Saccharomyces cerevisiae S288C: one gene and its partners. The protein of the gene in region 1 purifies or fractionates together with the protein of each later gene. This does not show direct contact. Each region holds a gene or a part of one and is shown in the gene's direction. Other genes may lie near its edges. The genes, in order: QCR7, PET9, QCR10 and COR1.

What was found.
Region 2: the proteins of QCR7 (region 1) and PET9 purify together in Saccharomyces cerevisiae (affinity purification with mass spectrometry; 3 studies listed by BioGRID, with this or other methods). This does not show direct contact.
Region 3: the proteins of QCR7 (region 1) and QCR10 purify together in Saccharomyces cerevisiae (affinity purification with mass spectrometry, with the first as the bait; 2 studies listed by BioGRID). This does not show direct contact.
Region 4: the proteins of QCR7 (region 1) and COR1 purify together in Saccharomyces cerevisiae (affinity purification with mass spectrometry; 4 studies listed by BioGRID, with this or other methods). This does not show direct contact.

Annotation. Positions count from the first base shown.
Region 1 is NC_001136.10:1,495,638-1,498,336, reverse strand, and holds QCR7 (ubiquinol--cytochrome-c reductase subunit 7), read left to right. Parts: upstream 1-1,788; coding exon 1,789-2,172; downstream 2,173-2,699. Other genes in the region: CAB1 (pantothenate kinase), read right to left, coding at 1-105; APA2 (bifunctional AP-4-A phosphorylase/ADP sulfurylase), read left to right, coding at 569-1,546; HLR1 (Hlr1p), read right to left, coding at 2,480-2,699. UniProt on the Saccharomyces cerevisiae protein: Component of the ubiquinol-cytochrome c oxidoreductase, a multisubunit transmembrane complex that is part of the mitochondrial electron transport chain which drives oxidative phosphorylation.
Region 2 is NC_001134.8:162,528-165,936, reverse strand, and holds PET9 (ADP/ATP carrier protein PET9), read left to right. Parts: upstream 1-1,939; coding exon 1,940-2,896; downstream 2,897-3,409. Other genes in the region: YBL029C-A (uncharacterized protein), read left to right, coding at 1,165-1,449; SHE1 (She1p), read right to left, coding at 3,222-3,409.
Region 3 is NC_001140.6:106,122-108,640, forward strand, and holds QCR10 (ubiquinol--cytochrome-c reductase subunit 10), read left to right. Parts: upstream 1-1,704; coding exon 1,705-1,710; intron 1,711-1,773; coding exon 1,774-2,001; downstream 2,002-2,519. Other genes in the region: oxysterol-binding protein related protein OSH7, read left to right, coding at 1-1,247.
Region 4 is NC_001134.8:133,643-137,183, reverse strand, and holds COR1 (ubiquinol--cytochrome-c reductase subunit COR1), read left to right. Parts: upstream 1-1,667; coding exon 1,668-3,041; downstream 3,042-3,541. Other genes in the region: ECM13 (Ecm13p), read right to left, coding at 1-496; YBL044W (uncharacterized protein), read right to left, coding at 818-1,186; PSY4 (Psy4p), read right to left, coding at 3,435-3,541. UniProt on the Saccharomyces cerevisiae protein: Component of the ubiquinol-cytochrome c oxidoreductase, a multisubunit transmembrane complex that is part of the mitochondrial electron transport chain which drives oxidative phosphorylation.

The DNA of each region.
Region 1 (2,699 bases):
CGAGAAGACTACTTTAGCCAGAGTGCCTCCTATATCAATAGCAAGGTTGAAAGTATTGTCGCCATAATCGCAATTGTAAGATATCTCTTGAGTAATTCGCGGCATTGCGATTCTTTTCGCATGCACTCAATTGGAACTATAAATTTCTTTATTCTGGTAGTTTTTTAGTTTTAATGATCAATCTGTTCAGAAACATAAGTTCTTTTTACTCATCGTTATGTTGGTGAAATAAAATTTCGGCCGATATTGGGGGAACTGCGCTAGTCGTTTAACGTCATGTAAGATTCCTAAGTGGAACAGTCAGAAGTAAAAAAAAAAAAATCGGTCCCGGCAATTACAAACTAAAGGAGCTCAATGCGTAGATCGCGGATAGTTCTCCGCATTTGAGTGAAACTTTTTGAGATACTGTCGTAAATACGCAATCATGAACGACCATATGAATAATACTCGATCATACCAACGTCACGTGTAAAGCTTTTGCCTGTTTCGAAAATGTGTTGAACTATTGAAATATAATAAAATTAAAAGGCAACCGAGCCCCTGGGTCAGAGAAAATAGGAAGACAAAGATGATTGAAGAGAATTTGAAACAGAAAATCCACGATAAGTTCGTTGCAGCCAAAAAGAATGGGCATCTGAAAGTAACGCATGCAGAATCCAAGAAGTTGAAAGATCCTCAAACGACGACACAATATTGGGTGACATTTGCTCCATCTTTGGCACTTAAGCCAGACGCTAACAAGAATAGCGATTCAAAGGCGGAGGACCCGTTCGCCAATCCCGACGAAGAACTAGTGGTGACTGAAGATCTAAATGGTGACGGAGAATATAAGCTGCTACTCAACAAATTTCCTGTGGTCCCTGAACATAGTCTCCTAGTGACAAGCGAGTTTAAAGACCAGAGATCTGCTTTGACGCCAAGTGACTTGATGACTGCTTATAATGTGCTCTGTTCTCTCCAAGGAGACAAGGACGATGATGTCACTTGTGAAAGGTATCTGGTCTTTTATAATTGTGGACCTCATAGCGGTTCCTCACAAGATCACAAACACTTGCAGATCATGCAAATGCCTGAAAAATTTATACCTTTTCAGGACGTATTGTGCAACGGAAAGGATCATTTCTTGCCCACCTTCAACGCAGAGCCATTACAAGATGATAAGGTTTCCTTTGCTCATTTCGTCTTGCCGCTGCCGGAATCGTCTGATCAAGTGGACGAAGATCTTCTTGCTATGTGTTACGTATCTTTGATGCAGAGAGCACTTACATTTTTCCAAGATTGGACCAATGAGTCTCCGGAGTTGACCAAGTCATACAATGTGCTACTGACCAAGAAATGGATCTGTGTAGTTCCAAGATCGCATGCCAAGAGTGGACCGCCATTGATGTTAAACATTAACTCCACGGGGTACTGTGGTATGATCCTCGTTAAAGACAGAGAAAAACTAGAGAACCTCACTGAAGATCCTCATCTTGTGGACAAGTCGTTACTGCAATGCGGTTTCCCCAACACAGCAGGCCAAAAACCAACAGAGTATCACTATTAAGGTCTATTAGCCATATGTACATTGTCTATAGATGTGTAACTGCGCTGTGATCTTGTTTTGACCAATCAGGAGCGACGCGCTTTTTATCGGGTCACCCCGGCGGGGGGCCTGACAATTTACTTTCATAGAGCAGTAATAAAAGGGAAGAGATGTAAAAGCTTGGAAAAATAGCAGTAAAGGTTGTTGTTGGACAATTTATCAGAATATTAGTAACTGTAATTAAACGTTCCAGAAAGAACAAAATGCCACAGTCTTTTACGTCTATTGCGAGAATTGGTGACTATATTTTGAAGTCACCCGTCCTCTCCAAGTTATGTGTTCCAGTTGCCAATCAGTTCATTAACCTCGCAGGTTACAAGAAGTTAGGGCTCAAATTTGACGACTTAATTGCAGAGGAAAATCCCATCATGCAGACCGCTTTAAGAAGACTCCCTGAAGATGAATCTTATGCCAGAGCATATAGAATAATCAGGGCTCATCAAACCGAGTTGACTCATCATTTACTGCCAAGAAACGAATGGATCAAAGCCCAAGAGGATGTTCCTTACCTGTTGCCATACATATTAGAAGCTGAAGCTGCAGCTAAGGAGAAGGACGAGTTAGACAACATAGAGGTCTCCAAATGAAAAGAAGAATAAAAAAATCACCACGAACACACAACCCGAAAAAAAAAAGGCATTAAATATTCATTTGAAAGAAGGGACAGAGACTAAATCATATCCTTTATTATCTCTCTATATATATATAAGCGTTTGCTTGAAACGTTTACTTCATATTATTTATTTATCTATAGTCTGAACTTAAAATTTTATTATGAAATTCGTATATTGTAATGTCTAGTGTTATAAATCGGGTATCTATTAGTATTTATTTTTTCTATAATTATGCAGGTGATGGGGTATCGAGTGGTCTATATATCTTAAATTTATTCTACTATTTCCTAGTGCAGAATAACTTGGCGAAAATTTTGAACTTTCTATTCTTCTTAAAAGATTTTTCTTCATACTGAGTTGAACTGTGCTTACTATCCTTGTTAATGGGAGCAGATTTTTGTTTCGTCGGCAAAATGACACTTTTATCAGATCCACTAGTTTCGTTGTATACGTGGAGGGGTTCTCCTCGTAGTATTTCTTCCGGAATACTCTCTTCTTCT
Region 2 (3,409 bases), on another chromosome or scaffold:
ACAAAGAGAGAAAAAAAAAAAAAAAAAAAAAAAAGAGAAAAACATGATAAAAATTGCATATATGTGGGTAGAAACCTTAAAAGTTATAATAAAGGGAATCCCACGCAGGAGCGGCATGGGAAGATAATATAATGAAACGAGCAAAAAATGGAGTCAACGTATGGCGTATTAAGATTGTGTTTATTTTTATGCAGGAAGGGGAATCGCACAGATAGTCAATAACCAACTGGCCGACTAACTGCATAAGAAATCGTTGTTTTTTTTTTCGAAGGCTCATTCAGATAAAGAAATCACTACGCGTTTTGTCTGTGAAGTCACAGATTTGAAAAATGAGAACGAAAAACATAACCACCTATGAGATTGAGTCCCTACATTTTACCATTTACGCTACTAAGTTACCCAATATCGTAACACGAAATAACAAGTTAAGGGGAGGAATGAAAAGGTTATCAAAGCGGCAGGAGACAGGAGGAATAACGCAGGACGAGACCCAAAGATAATATTTCTATAACGAAGTCGTTCGAACCCATCAGATTTCTGCTTTGATTACATACACAAGCTTTGTTTCTTTCTACAGGTGATTGTATGTGGGCTTATGGTATGCCTGCAGGACGCGTATGCATGTACGACGGCACGACCCGGAGCAAAACGGCGAGTGCTCTAACGCGGTGTATGGGCTAGATTCGTAATAGGGCTCTGGGTTTGCTGCAAGGGGTAATTATCAGCGATGGAATGACTCCGTTACCGCCCGACGCTATGTACGCCTTTTCCGCGTGCGCCGGTCTTTACCGGCAGGGGAGAATGTGGTGACGGCGGAGCCGGCGTATGGTGCCTCTACAAAAAATACGAAGTCTCATTTTAGTCACACTGATTTTCATAAGAAATGAGGAAAAAGAAAAGAGATGAAAATTGAGAAAAAAAAAAAAGCATTGTCGGGTAACAAATTATGTAGTGAAGATCAAAGGATATACACACAAACGAAGATGCGCATTAGCCACGTCCATCCCTTTCCCTTTTTCCCTTTCTACTCCGTTTTTACAATAATGTACGTTATAAAACAAGCGGCTGAAGAACAAGTTGGGAATAAATGTCAGCAAGGAAGATTGGTGTAAAGTGAAATCAGATAAGCAACTTAATACACAACCTCAAAAAGAAAAAATTACCATGTCATTCATACCTATTGTATGTGGTATGAAGAGTTTCGACTCTTCATACGATACCGTTCCCGGACATCAAAACCTGTATTGCCCGAATTGTCACAATTATAGTGTCGGCCCCATAAAAAGAAAGGAATTTTTCACTATTTGGTTTATACCGTTGGTTCCGGTCTTCTGGGGAAAACAGTTGCACTGCCCCATATGCAATTGGCGACAAGATTTTAAGAATGACGAACAGCTTAATAAAGTCATTCAAGAACAACAAAACTTACGACAAAAGCAGCCCAACTGATAACGAAATAATTTCCTTTTCTTCCTCTTATATATGTATTTATATATATGTGTTCACTATAACCATACATATATTATACAGAAGTATAGACACGATTTTTCCATACGTAACAAATAACATCACGATGCACGAGCACTGTTTCCAATGGAGAACAAGCGAAAGGCGGTAAATGCGCTATGCTGATTGGTGTAGAGCGCGGGCCAATGAGAAGGCCCCACTCTCAGAGGGTGAGGTGCGATTATCGGGGACATGTCTCCGTCGATCGGGCCCACGTCGTCGCACAATATAAATACCATTTGAGTTTTTAATATTAATTTTTCACGACAACCCACTCAAAAAAGTATATATTCACTGTTAGTTATACGGAACATTGCAATACATCTACAAGTCAAAGGAGCCCCTCTATATTATTTATATTTGTCGTTGTTCTTTTTTGTGTGCTCTTTTATACTTCAGAATCATACATTAACATACATATAAGCAAATAGCCATGTCTTCCAACGCCCAAGTCAAAACCCCATTACCTCCAGCCCCAGCTCCAAAGAAGGAATCTAACTTTTTGATTGATTTCTTAATGGGTGGTGTCAGTGCCGCTGTCGCCAAAACTGCTGCATCTCCCATCGAAAGAGTTAAACTTTTGATCCAAAACCAAGATGAAATGTTAAAACAAGGTACTTTGGACAGAAAATACGCAGGTATCTTAGACTGTTTCAAGAGAACCGCTACACAGGAAGGTGTTATCTCATTCTGGAGAGGTAACACTGCTAACGTTATCCGTTATTTCCCCACTCAAGCTTTGAATTTCGCCTTCAAGGACAAGATCAAGGCCATGTTTGGTTTCAAGAAGGAAGAAGGTTACGCCAAATGGTTTGCCGGTAACTTGGCATCTGGTGGTGCTGCTGGTGCCTTGTCATTACTATTTGTTTACTCTTTGGATTATGCAAGAACTAGATTGGCTGCTGACTCCAAGTCCTCTAAAAAGGGTGGTGCTCGTCAATTCAACGGTTTGATCGATGTCTACAAGAAGACCTTAAAATCTGATGGTGTTGCTGGTCTTTACAGAGGTTTCTTACCTTCTGTCGTTGGTATTGTTGTCTACAGAGGTCTATACTTCGGTATGTACGATTCTTTGAAGCCTCTATTGTTGACTGGTTCTTTGGAAGGTTCATTCTTGGCTTCATTCTTGTTGGGTTGGGTTGTTACTACTGGTGCTTCTACATGTTCTTACCCATTGGATACCGTTAGAAGAAGAATGATGATGACCTCCGGTCAAGCTGTTAAGTACGACGGTGCCTTTGACTGTTTGAGGAAGATTGTTGCTGCTGAAGGTGTTGGTTCTCTATTCAAGGGTTGTGGTGCTAACATCTTAAGAGGTGTCGCAGGTGCTGGTGTTATCTCAATGTACGACCAACTGCAAATGATCTTGTTTGGTAAGAAGTTCAAATAAGTCTAATCTGGCTTGATTCTTAATCTAAATTCTTTCTCACATTTTCCTTTTTTTCTTCTTTGGATTTTTGGTGTTTAATGAGTGACACGATTTGTTTTGATAATATTATTATCCTCCTATTTTTTTAGAAATTCTTTTCAACAAGAATCAAAGATTCATAAAAAAAGAAAACGATGAAATTTTTTGAACAACTTTTACGTATAAAGAAGAAAAAAAAAAAATTCTAAATATCCAGTAAATAGTTTTATATTAGTAGTATTCTTTCCCACTTTTTAAATGTCATCACATGATGTTTCTTATAAAATGCAATTTTTTTATTACTTAATCACCGCCAAATAGGTCTATCACTCTTTGTGCCGGTGGCAGTACTTTGCTTAAGGTTACTGGACAATGAACCACTTGTCTTACTTTTAACCAACCGAGTCTTTACATTTGTGTGTTCCTTGGATTTTGCAGAGGTTCCTGACGATAAGTTGTTCATAGACGTCGACCTAGAGAACGTTGTTTGCTTGT
Region 3 (2,519 bases), on another chromosome or scaffold:
TTGCATCCAATGCTGCAAATTCCAAACCAAGCGGAGCAGACACGGATGATATCGATGAGAATGATGAATCTGGGCAAAGTATTCTATTAAATATTATTTCCCAGCTGAAGCCAGGTTGTGATTTATCTAGAATCACACTTCCGACATTTATTCTGGAAAAAAAATCGATGTTGGAGAGAATCACTAATCAATTACAATTCCCAGATGTTCTTTTAGAAGCACACTCCAATAAAGACGGGCTGCAAAGGTTCGTTAAAGTGGTAGCATGGTACCTAGCAGGTTGGCACATTGGGCCCAGGGCTGTGAAGAAGCCCCTAAATCCCATTCTTGGAGAACACTTTACAGCTTATTGGGATTTGCCTAACAAGCAACAAGCCTTTTACATTGCAGAACAAACGAGTCACCATCCTCCTGAATCTGCGTATTTTTACATGATTCCAGAATCGAATATTAGAGTTGATGGAGTTGTTGTGCCAAAATCGAAATTTTTAGGAAACTCAAGTGCTGCAATGATGGAGGGGTTAACTGTATTGCAATTCCTTGATATCAAGGATGCAAATGGTAAACCAGAGAAATATACTCTATCGCAACCAAATGTTTACGCAAGGGGAATTCTGTTTGGCAAGATGAGGATTGAATTGGGAGATCACATGGTCATTATGGGTCCTAAGTATCAAGTGGATATTGAGTTCAAAACAAAGGGCTTTATTTCTGGTACCTATGATGCAATTGAAGGTACAATTAAGGATTACGATGGTAAGGAATACTACCAAATTAGTGGTAAGTGGAATGATATTATGTATATCAAAGATTTGAGGGAAAAAAGCTCTAAAAAGACTGTTCTCTTCGATACTCATCAGCATTTTCCTCTAGCTCCTAAAGTCCGCCCATTGGAGGAACAGGGAGAATACGAATCGAGAAGGCTTTGGAAGAAGGTTACGGATGCGCTGGCTGTACGTGACCATGAAGTAGCTACAGAAGAAAAGTTTCAGATAGAAAACCGCCAAAGAGAGCTGGCCAAAAAGAGGGCCGAAGACGGCGTTGAATTTCATTCAAAACTATTTAGAAGGGCAGAGCCAGGTGAGGATTTAGATTATTATATTTACAAGCACATCCCTGAAGGGACCGACAAGCATGAAGAACAGATCAGGAGCATTTTGGAAACTGCCCCGATTTTACCAGGACAGACATTCACTGAAAAATTTTCTATTCCGGCTTATAAAAAGCATGGAATCCAAAAGAATTAGGCTTCTCATTCTATTTTAATTATACTAGTACGATTTCTCACTCTGTAATTTAATATCAGTGTAATATGCACCTAGTTATGGGTAGTTTTTGCTAACGTTACGAGCCGCGAAACTGTCCTCAATCTTCACCACTACCTCTAATGACTGAAGAATGCTATGCGATATAACGCTGTCGCACTTTGAATATATACTTATATTTACATAGTTTTCAAGTGCGTATTACTATTGCAAAGTAGTATTTTGTCACGTGATTTTGATCCAATTAAAACTAAATATGGTTCAACCCGTTGTTTCCGCATCAAAAAACCATACCATTTATCAAGGGGACGGGATATATCACATAACAGTTTGAATGCATAATTTGTTATAGATATCTTCTGGAATAATCTTCACAGCAAAAGCGCAAGTCGAATAATATATCGATAAATACAATCCATAAGACTTAAAACTAACCTCAATGGCGGTAAGTATCCTATCATATTATGTGAGCTAGAACCGAATTAGTATACTAACATTTATAATACAGTACACTTCTCATCTGTCTTCAAAAACTGGTCTACATTTCGGTAGACTTTCTTTAAGAAGTTTAACAGCTTATGCTCCGAATTTAATGTTATGGGGTGGTGCTAGCATGCTTGGGCTATTTGTATTCACAGAAGGATGGCCTAAGTTTCAAGATACGCTATACAAAAAGATTCCGTTGTTAGGACCTACATTGGAAGATCATACTCCACCAGAAGATAAACCTAATTGAAGCCAAAACATCCAACCGGCTGAGTGATTTTATTTATTTGTTTTACGTTCTTTTCTATCATTTTGGAAGAGGAATTAATGCAAAACACATTTGTATTTTTTTTTATTTTTGCATATTCTCGATTATCTATACATATTTTTAAACTGGATCATAAAAGGTATAAAAAGTAATTGATCCATACAACATTTTTAAATATTTACCCCTCTATTTTCAGAATATTTACTAAAACATCAGTTATCAAAGAGTAGGGAAAAGTTAACTACAGGTTTGTTTTTCCTCTTTTTATGTATCTTTTGAGCTTTGTAATTGGGCAGCACATCTCTATGTTTTCAGGGAAACCTATTTCATTCGCCATTTTGATGATTTAGGCATACGCCAATGCTAACGCCGTTTCTTGTAATTTCTATTTTTTCAAATGGAGTACTTTACCTTCCTCCCGCAGCTGGAACTTTCAACCCGCCGGAAGAAAAGACCAAATAATATTATAATTAATATTTAAAACCCTTGAAAGATCATCT
Region 4 (3,541 bases), on another chromosome or scaffold:
ATTGATAATTAGGTGCGGTGTGAAAACTAAAGTACATGTCAATTTTCTTGTTATAATCACCGCCAGAGTAATCGTACTCAAAATCATAGTCTTCATAATCATCATCGTCTTCACTGTCAGTAGAAGATAGAGTGTCAGCATCTGGATCTTCGTCACTAGAGTAAAAATCACAGTAATCTTCACTTTCTATCGTCTTTTCTGCATTTTCCTCCTTACCGACGTCATTTTTACTAGCATTAGCATTGGACAATTCGATATGTTCGATGGACAAGTTTTCAGGTCCTTTACTGAAAGGGTCTCCGGCAAGGGCGTTGGTTGCAGCATTATGAGTTTCCACATTTTCTGTAATCTTATCCAGCAAGTTTGCGTGCCCGACTAAAACTCTCAGGTTGTAGTCTTTGTTTTTAGTAGTCACGCTAACGCATTTTGCCAGCTTGGAGCGTACTTTGCTGGCCAAAATATATTGATCTTGAATCGATGGGGTTGTAGAGTTCATTATAATCGCAGTATGCGGAATTTTCTATGTGAGAAAAACAATAAATAATTGTGAAAAAACTTGGATGTATAGTGTAATACTATAAAAAATTTCTGCTGGTATGTAGCTGTCTTTTTATTTTTTCTTTGGTCATACAGGGCTGTAAGCAGAGAAAGTCGAACAAAGACGTAACACCAGAGAAAGAAACTTGAATGCTTTTGTTAGATATATATATATATATTTATACATATGCCTCTCGCTAGAGGATATATCGCCGCGGAGCGCAGCGAACTACATCCGAAAACATCACAAATAATGCATGGGCAACCGGATACATTGCATTTAGTTTTGCCTTTTTTTCCAATTGTCACAGCTTCCTCGAAGTTTCTGACCCGGTAAAACGTGCGAAATGCCTCTTCTAATGCCGAAACAAGGGAAACCCTTAAAGCTTCCGTGCAAGCTGACCATGCCGGTCCGCACTTCGGGTCTTGTCCGTCGCCCGTGATCCAATAGGATACAACTACAAATCTGGGGTAAAGTCCGACTTTCGGCCCGCCGTGCGTTACTGCATGTTACATCACTATGGTGGGGACGGAAAATCACAGATGAGTCAGCTTCGTGATTTCCTGTTTCGGTGATGCTTGCAGTATACTTCAAATACTTCGCTTTACTTGGCAACCTTTTTTTTTGCCTCTCTAGCATTTCACCCATACCCACCAGGGGGAAAAAGAAAAGAGAGATTTTAAAACCAGATATTCTTTTTCACGATTTACATAACCCGGACTGGGTAGGGTAACATGTATATGAACTTTAACTGTGACCCGGACAGCACGCTTTCTGCACCAATGAAATGCCAATAAATTAACAGTGTTTTTTGTCCTCCAGAAGTTCAAGGGCCCGCGCTGTCAGCTGCACCAAATAAAAACCAAACAAGAAAATTAAAGGCCTACAGCGCTCCCTAACCGATATTCCCCTACTCTCTTTCCCCGTCTTATTCGAGGAAAACAGCGTATAATAAAGCAATAGCTTTCACAGAAAAAATATTATATCATCCCTGTTCGTATAGGTAACGAATCCTAATATTAAATTGCTACCATTGCTGATCAAGACAATTGTGGAGTAATAATACGAGAAGAACATCATCGTCACCATATCACTGAGAAAGAAAACACAAGATATATAAACAAAAAAAATGCTAAGAACAGTAACTTCAAAGACTGTATCTAACCAGTTCAAGAGGTCTTTGGCTACAGCTGTAGCAACCCCCAAGGCCGAAGTAACGCAATTATCTAACGGTATAGTTGTAGCCACTGAGCATAATCCTTCCGCTCACACAGCCTCTGTCGGTGTTGTCTTCGGCTCCGGTGCTGCCAACGAAAACCCTTATAACAACGGGGTTTCCAATTTATGGAAGAACATCTTTCTATCCAAAGAAAACTCTGCTGTTGCCGCCAAGGAAGGTTTGGCATTGTCTTCCAATATCTCCAGAGACTTCCAATCTTACATTGTATCTTCTTTGCCAGGTTCTACCGATAAATCACTAGACTTCTTGAATCAGTCTTTCATCCAACAAAAGGCTAATTTGCTATCTTCTTCTAACTTCGAGGCCACGAAGAAATCTGTCTTGAAGCAAGTTCAAGATTTTGAAGAAAACGACCATCCCAACAGAGTTTTGGAACATTTACACTCCACCGCCTTCCAAAACACTCCATTATCTTTGCCTACTAGAGGTACTTTGGAGTCCTTGGAGAATTTAGTTGTTGCTGATCTGGAATCTTTTGCCAATAACCATTTCTTGAATTCAAATGCTGTTGTTGTTGGTACCGGTAATATCAAACATGAGGATTTAGTAAATTCCATCGAATCCAAAAACCTAAGTTTGCAAACCGGTACCAAGCCCGTACTCAAGAAAAAGGCCGCTTTCTTGGGTTCCGAAGTTAGATTGAGAGACGACACCTTGCCAAAGGCGTGGATTTCGCTGGCTGTGGAAGGTGAACCTGTCAATTCACCAAATTATTTTGTTGCTAAATTAGCCGCCCAAATTTTCGGCTCATACAACGCCTTCGAACCCGCTTCTAGATTACAAGGTATCAAATTGTTAGACAACATACAGGAGTACCAATTATGCGACAATTTCAATCATTTCTCTCTTTCTTACAAAGATTCCGGTTTATGGGGGTTCTCTACGGCCACGAGAAACGTTACCATGATTGACGACCTCATCCATTTCACTTTGAAACAATGGAACAGATTGACCATTTCTGTCACTGATACTGAAGTTGAACGTGCCAAATCGCTGTTGAAATTACAATTAGGGCAGTTATACGAATCTGGTAATCCCGTCAATGACGCTAACTTGTTAGGCGCAGAAGTCCTAATCAAGGGCTCCAAACTGTCTCTGGGTGAGGCTTTCAAGAAAATTGATGCAATCACAGTCAAAGATGTTAAGGCTTGGGCCGGTAAGAGATTATGGGACCAAGATATTGCTATTGCTGGTACAGGCCAAATTGAAGGGTTATTAGATTACATGAGAATCAGAAGTGACATGTCCATGATGAGATGGTAAGATGTGTGATAATATATTTTCCATGCACATAAAATAGAAATAAGCAAGCTGCTAGATGTATACAGGCACGCTCGCACACTCACACCATAAATGAATTTTTTACATGTATTTTATATTCTAGTAACCCAAGTAGTCTTCATTATTTATTGGCAAGGTCACTGTTCCTTGCAAAAGTAGAAAATAAAAAAAGAAAAAAAAAGAAACTCGTAAGAAAACAAGATTAAATAAACGTCTTATTTTATATAAGTGTATATATATATATATATATATATGTGACCAAGATCCTGAAGAACTATCGATTTTAAAAATAAGAAAGATGAACTTTTTTTTGGTAAAACATATTTAATGATATTATGCAAATGGGAAGTTGTTGGTAGAGAAGTCATCTCTCGATCATCTGGACTTCTTGCCTAATGGACTGCTAATATTCTCACGGTAGGTAATACCAGCAATCGCAACCATCTTATCCTCTTGTGAAGAGCTCATCGATGGACTCACTA